2 linked regions of the Danio rerio genome follow. The protein of the gene in region 2 purifies or fractionates together with the protein of the main gene of each other region. This does not show direct contact. Links are inferred from orthologs where the notes say so. Each region holds a gene or a part of one and is shown on either strand. Other genes may lie near its edges.

Region 1 (3,831 bases), on a different chromosome or scaffold from region 2:
TGCTACTACCCAGCTTTGGTAAGAAGCACACAAGACAACAACAGGATATTTGGTGGTAAACTAACCAGCAGAGGCAGGGGTGGAGGACGCAGCAGCACCAAATGTGAAAGAAGGGGTGGATGAGTTTGAGCCCGAGCCAAACTGGAAAGGCTGTGCTGGGGCAGCAGAAGGGGCCGCAGGAGGAGCCGGCTGACTGTCCTGCTGCTGCTGTCCGAACACGAAAGTCTTTCCCACATTTAGTTCAGAGGAGGAATTCTGGCCAAACACAAAGGTGCTAGTGGGAGCAGGCGTGGGAGCCAGGGAAGAGGTGGTGGGAGTGCCGAAAAGGCTGGGGGTGGAGCTGGAGGAGGCTGGGGTGCTGGAGGTGGAGTTGGCCATGAAGCCAAAAGAGGGCTTTGGAGCAGAAGTTTCTGGAAAGCACATAGATGGAGAGTCAAACTGTGGTGCTACACAAACATGGTACAATAACTACAGTCTTTATCTACAGCGGAGAATAACTGAAGAACAACCAATGAGGACATTTCAGCTACAACCATAAGGGTTTCATGAAATTAAAATAAATTTTAGATGCTTCAGTCTGTCAGTTGTAAGTATATCTATTAGCTGGTGTGTTCCAAAACAAAATTTGCGTTTAGAAAGTCTAAAACTGATATAAACATCCAAAGCTTGCAGTTTGTCACTTCCACCTAAAGTCATGTCATAATTCAGTTTCTTATCAAATAATGACCGATTAAATGCGCTCTAGAATCTGACATGCTCCGCCCCCTTCAACACGCTTCTCATGTTTTCCATTCAATGACTCTTACTGAGAGCTGTGATGAAATCAAAATGCTATTGGCTGTTTTTAAAAAAGGAGGAGGAGCTACTATCCCACCCTCTGTTTATTTCAGTCGAGATTAAGTTAAAGTCCCTTAAATGCAGGGGTGTCCAAACTTGGTCCTGGTGGGCTGATGTCCATGGCTGCGTCTGAAACCGCATACTTCCATACTATATAGTTCTCTAAAATCAGTATATGAGCTGAGTAGTATGTCCGGATTCACAGAATTCGAAAAACAGTATGTGAGAAGTACCCGGATGACTTACTACTTCCGACGAGATTCTGGAGTGTGCATTTCATGCATGCTGCGCTATCCCATGATGCCCCGCGAGCGAATTTATGAATAGGAGTAAAGCGACGCAAATTATGCAGGTACGTCACGTGACTGTCAAAATGGCGGATGTAGTACGTGCGAATTCCATTCATACTTTTCACATTCATACTGTATAGAGCGTACTTTATTAACGGCCGAGTAGTACGTTTAAATTCAAATGCAGTACCTACTGAGTAGTAGGCGGTTTCGGACGCAGCCCATGAGAGTGTCTAACTCTAATCAAACACACCTGAACCAGCTAATTAAGCTCTCACTAGATATACTAGAAACTTCCTGGCAGGTGTGTTGAAGCAAGTTGGAGATAAACTCTCCAGGAAACCGGCCCTCCAGGACCGAGTTTGGACACCCCTGCTTTAAGGCAAGTTATTTCACTTGGCGGCCATCTTTGGAACAACTCTCAGGCAAGTATGCTCGGGCACTCTGTCTGAATGGGGAAACATCAAATTCTCCAAAACTGCTTGCCAAGCTTATGATTGAATTTCATATTAGGAATTGCCAATAATATTAAACAACAACAGTCTTTTTAGTTTAATTTCTAAACGTCCAAATTACACAAAATCTCCAGAAACTCACATCTAATCTGAGCCCTTCCCCCAGAGTAGTATCAGTCTATAGTGATCGATGATTGGCTCCTGTACTAAAAGGCGGCCTTTGTTCACCATATAGTGATCAATGATTGGCTCCTGTACTAGAAGGCCGGCTTTATTGAGAAGGGTATAAACGGAGGCCGGAGCCAGCTCCAAGTGGGTGGGTCTTGGAGCTCCAAGTGGGCTGGGCAAACCTTATTTAGTCGTATTTAGAGTTCAATATTGTGCTTTATGAATTTGTACACCTAACCCTAACCCCAACCTCACAGTAACCTGTTGTGTTTTATTAACGTCTACACCTAAACCCAACCCTAAACCCAACCTCACAGTAACCTGATAAACCCAACCTCCTTGCGGTTTGAGTCACTCCCACTTGGAGGTCAACCAACCTACTTGCGGTGTAATCCCTCCCACATGCAGGTCTCCTGGCTGCAGCGATACCTACTTGGCTTTAATCACTATATATTGATCAATGATTGGCTCCTGTACTAGAGAGCGGGCTTCATTCACCATATTGACCAGAGTGACGTGTCTTAGTCCTTGATTACATGAACCATCAAATTTTTAAAAAATGCACATTTCAAAAGCACTTAACATACTTAAAGGGATAGTTTACCTAAAAATTAAGAATGCTGCATCATTGTAAGTTTTTCTTGTGTTGAACACAAAACTATAGCTGCTTTCCAAATGGCACACTATACACTATGTACTTATGCACTTACACACTCAACAGGATAGTACATGTATGTTGTGTCGTCCCAAATGGCACACTTATGTTTTTTTACTAAGCGGAAATTCAAACCGTTTTCCTGATGACGTTTGACGGTTGCCAAATCAGTGAAATAAACGACCGAATTATCAAATAATACCTGCCGTGAGTATAACCCCATTCACCATCGGGAGGCGCTATAATCACTTTTGTAGGAGAATTTTGCTTTCACCATCCAAAATAAATAAAGTTATCCAACATGTGTGCCTGATAGCTCCGTCCCTTCTGCTACGTTGGTAAACCTGCGGTCGTTGAGTCCGTGAAGTGTCCATCATTACACACTTCATTTTAGCGGCTGAATGAGTGCATCATCCAGGTTATTAAAGCGCTCATTATTTTTAGAGTTTTCAGTGTGAACACACTACTTACACTATTTATACTACAAAATGGCGTAGAATAGCGCATTTGGGACGCAGCTTATATATTTTTTAAAATAATAGTTGCTGCCACCCGTTGACTTAAATAGTAGAAAACAATGACAATGTCAATGGATGCCACATTTTCAAAATATATTGTTCAACTGAACGAAAATTAAATGGGTTATGAACAATTGAAAGATGAATAAATCATTTTTTGGGAGAACTATCCCTTTAAAGGAGTCATATGATGTTGCTAAATGAACATTATTTTGTGTATTTGGTGTAATGCAATGCATATAATGTAAACAAATAAATAAATTCCCCACATACTGTACATTACCATTTCTCATCTCTGCTCTGCCTTTCTGAAACAATGTTACAAAGCTCATCATTCTGAAACGTGTGCAGTGTTCTGATTCGTCAGCCTTCCATTAAGTGTTCTGTAATTGGCTGAATGCCTCAAGTGTGTAAAGGAACTAAAAAACATATGCAGCCTAAAATGGCCTTACTTAAAACTTGTGGCATCATTTGTATCAATTATTGCATCTCGCTGTGAAAATATACATCTTGTTTTATAATAATTATACTTAAAATCTCAAGAACTATTGGACTTGTAAAGTCCTGGAGGAACTGGGAAATATTATGCCCTTTATTTCCATAGTAATACCAGATAAATTTCATTCTGAATATGTTGATGATCGAGCTTATTGATCAGATTAAGCAGAACACCTTTCACAGAAGAAACAGCTTTCTTTGCATGTACATTGAGGTCAATCCTTGTTGTGTTTGCATGAGGTGTTCTAGGTAGATGGAGGAGTTTTAACTTTAATTAGGATTTTTAATGTTTTACAGATCTTATAAATGCACAAAAAACTTTTAACACTCAAAAAGACAAAAGAAGATGAAATTGCGTCACACGATTCTCTTAATCCAGGTGTTAAGACTGAACTGGAACAACCCCAAGT
Region 2 (3,831 bases):
TGCTTGGTTTGTGCTTTGACATGCACTGTCAACCCTGGGACCTTATATAGACAGGTGTATGCCATTTCAAATCATGTCCAATCAACTGAATTTACTACAGGTAAACTCCAATTAAGCTGCTGAATTATCTCAAGAATTATCAGTGAAAATAGAATGTTCTTGATCTCAATTTAAAGCTTCACGACAAAGGCTGTGAATACCTATGTACATTGTACATGGGATTTTTCAGTTTTTTTATTTTTAATAAATTTGCAACAATTTAAACAAAGTTTTTTTCACATTGTCATTACGAGGTATTGTGTGCAGAATTAAGAGTAAATAAATGAATTTAACCCATTTTGGAATAAGGCTGTAACATAAAAAAATGAAAAAGCAGTGAAAAAGTGAAAAAAGTGAAGCGCTATGAATACTTTCTGGATGCACTGTACGTGTTGTGATAAGTATTTCTTTGTATCTCTGTCTAATGCTGCCTGGCAGAAGAGATATTACATCTCAATGGGACATTCCTGGTTAAATAAGTAAATAAATGAAATTTACAACCAAATTGTAAAATGAAGACCTAAAAAACACACTCACAATTATAAAAAAAAAAACATTATCTTAGGCATAAGCAAGTTTGAACAAGTGAGTTTTCAGCTGCTTTTTTAAAATGTCCACAGAGTCTGCAGATCTCCGTTTCCTCAGTAACTACCTCAAGAGCACAGCCTCTTTTTATCTTTAATCTGGAATGTAAAACAATGACCATGAACTGATTTGAGGATTGTTCGAATTACATGGATGATGAATCTCTGTATATATTCATTTAGACTAAATCATTTTTTTTTATTAATTACAACTTTACAGTGAGTCAATGTAGAGAAATTAAAATAGGGGTTACATGAGATCTCTGACATAGTTAAAAGCTTAACAGCTGCAACCTTTGATGAATTTAACAGTGTTGGCTAAAAAAGGCTCACTAATTTCATTTTGCCAAACTAGTTCACAAAAATATAGTTGAAGAAAGTCCACAAGAGGCCACTGTTGATTTATTTTACCTGTGAGATTTGTTGGCAAAATTTACCAGAAAATTTTTATGACTGTTATAAATGATCAACTACAGCAGTATTTCACTCCTCCAGAGGTCAAGGTTCTCGCTTTCAGCGTTCATGTCAGAGAGTTATATTAGGGTTTTTATGAGGGTTGCAGGAGGCGGGATCTCACCTCAATGATGTTGTGCATATGTGGAAGGAGACGGTCTAGTCGCACTTCCAAAAGCATGACTAAAGCTCTGCACACATTCTTCCTCACTTCTGGCTCCTCATCCCCCGCCAGTGCAAACAGGTTCTGTAGCACAACAATGAACACATAAAAATGCATTTTCTATTTTTAGAACTCCACAACTTCCTCAAACAAAACTAGCATCAGAGAATATTGTGAGCATCTTATTTTTATTAGAATATAAGTCCCGTTTTTATCAGAAATGTGACTTATATTCTTTTGTGGCTTATACAATGCACTTAACATCAAGCGAGCAAAGCATGTTTAAAGGTTGTCAGTTTTTGGTTGTTGTACCTCAATGAAGGGGTCTATATGCAGCATTAGGGCTTGCGTTCTGCTGATGATGAACTGGTTCACACAGGCAATGGCATGAGACCTACAACAGACAACAAACACAGAACGCACACACAGTATGCAGTCAGAACAACTGACCCTTTTTATGTCCGTCAAGCTATATTCACTCGCTGTGCCGTTGTCAACTTGTGCACTCTCTGTTGAAATAATGAATAATGTCTGGAAAATATGTATGTTGATTTCAAACAGAATGGTCAGCAAATACATGTCCACATGCATTTGAATTACATACTCAGTATGAGAAAGTAAAGCTAGGCAATTAAAAAGAGCAAAGCTGAGATAAGAGACAGCATCAGAGAGCGGGCAGCTAGCTCTCTGCAACTCTCATATGGTCACTCACTGAAGCTAAGCAGGGCTGCGCCCGGTCAGTACCTGGATGGGAGACCACATGGGAAAGCTGGGTTGCTGCTGGAAGTGGTGTTGGTAAGACCAGCAGGTGGCGCCCAACCTGTGGTCCGTGTGGGTCCTAATGCCCCAATATAGTGACAGGGACTCTATTCTGTTCAGTGAGCGATGTCTTTCGAGGTTCTAACTTGTTAAAAATCCCAGTATGTCCTTCAAAAATAAGTAGTGGTTTAATCCTGGCGTCCTGACCAAATATGCCCACTGGCCTCTGTCTATCATGGCCTCCTCCCTATACCAAAAGTGGCTTCATCACACTGTCTCCTCTTAACCGATCAGCTGGTCTGTGGTGTGTGGTCTGGCACATTATGGCTGCCATCACGTCATCCAGGTGGATGCTGCACACTGGTGGTGGATGAGGAGATTCGCTCCCAAAAAAATGTGTAAAGTGCTTTGAGTGTCTAGAAAAGCGCTATATAAATGTACGGATTATTGTTAATATTATTATTATCACCCGTCTAAAAAAAAAAAACAGGCATTTTCCAAGACAAACAAAGATAATTTACATTTTTAGAGCTTACTGGATTACAAACAGTCATTGAGATGACAAGATTTGTGGGGTTTGTAGGCAATGTGGCTGGTCAGATCACCTGTCAATTTACTTTTGGTGAAAGGTCAATTGCTTGGGAATAGAATTGGGCTTATATAAGATTCTGACGGGATGATAACTTTGGATAAAATTATCACAGTTTCATGGTATTGTGAATACTGCTCTAAAATACATTCTCTTTAAATGTCTGGGTAAAAAACAACAGCTTTTTTCCCCTTTGAACAAAAAATATACACAGTATATTTTATTTTGAGAAACATTTGAAATATTTTGGGGCAGTAAACATGTCAGGCTAAATTATTCAAATAAATCCTTAATTCTGCTGTCTTCATTAGTTTCCAAAACACTGATTTCTTTACAATTTAAAACGGGATCTTTGGTAAAAATGTTGCCAGTTTTAAAACCTTGACTTTTCTAAATCACGGTATGCCTTAAAAATGGTTATCGTCCCATGCCTACTTGGGAAAATATATTACTCGAAATTAGGGATGTCAGAATATACCAATAGTGGAGATCTATAATGAAATCTAATGAAAAAAAAAGATAATATGAAGTTGATAATAAACATTAACATTATAAATTATCCATGGGGCACTCCAATACAGAAGGTGGCGCCACAATGGCATTCCAATACAGTAGCTGCACAAATTTGTTTGGCGTGTGTTATAAAACAAATCAAAAATTTTGCTGCTTGCCACAACAAGGGATAAAAATCGCCCCCAAAGGACACTGCTAGAATGTGAACAGTCATGTGTCGCCATATTGAAGTGTTGTTCCAAACCAAAGTGCTCAAAACCGACCACTTCATTACAAGATTAAGAAGTATATACTTTCTACTCCATTGAATTTTTGTTTAATTTCTGACTCTCATGGATAGGAGTGCAAGTTGTTTTTTCCAGTTTTTTGGTGCCTTACAACCTTTATCCCTTTCAAATATTTTTAAAAGGGATATATAAAATATATTTAAGTATGAGGCCTTCAGTTTGGGACACAGCAAATGGACAGTTATTACTACTGCACAAAACCTTGTGGAATACAACACACAAAACAAAGACACAGTGCAGGAGTTTTTTGAATTGCATTACAAGATGTGCAATTAAACATTCAGGTTAAAGGTTCACCATAAAATAAAAATTCATTTTTTTCGTCAATCCAGTCCCCTGAGACCTGCCTTGCCTTTAAACTAAAATGAAGATATTTTAGAAGAAATTCCAGACCTTACTAATCCTCCATAGTCAGTAACCATCCCCAGACGTTCAAAGTACAGA

Evidence for each region.
Region 1: the proteins of tnpo1 (region 2) and nup153 purify together in Homo sapiens (co-immunoprecipitation; 3 studies listed by BioGRID and IntAct, with this or other methods). This does not show direct contact. The link is inferred for Danio rerio from reciprocal best matches to the Homo sapiens genes TNPO1 and NUP153.

The regions. Positions count from the first base shown.
Region 1 is NC_133194.1:48,917,266-48,921,096, forward strand, and holds part of nup153 (nuclear pore complex protein Nup153), read right to left. Parts: intron 411-3,831; coding exon 66-410; intron 1-65. UniProt on the Homo sapiens protein: Component of the nuclear pore complex (NPC), a complex required for the trafficking across the nuclear envelope. Functions as a scaffolding element in the nuclear phase of the NPC essential for normal nucleocytoplasmic transport of proteins and mRNAs.
Region 2 is NC_133180.1:35,850,490-35,854,320, forward strand, and holds part of tnpo1 (transportin-1), read right to left. Parts: intron 1,634-3,831; coding exon 1,552-1,633; intron 1,324-1,551; coding exon 1,201-1,323; intron 1-1,200. UniProt on the Homo sapiens protein: Functions in nuclear protein import as nuclear transport receptor. Serves as receptor for nuclear localization signals (NLS) in cargo substrates.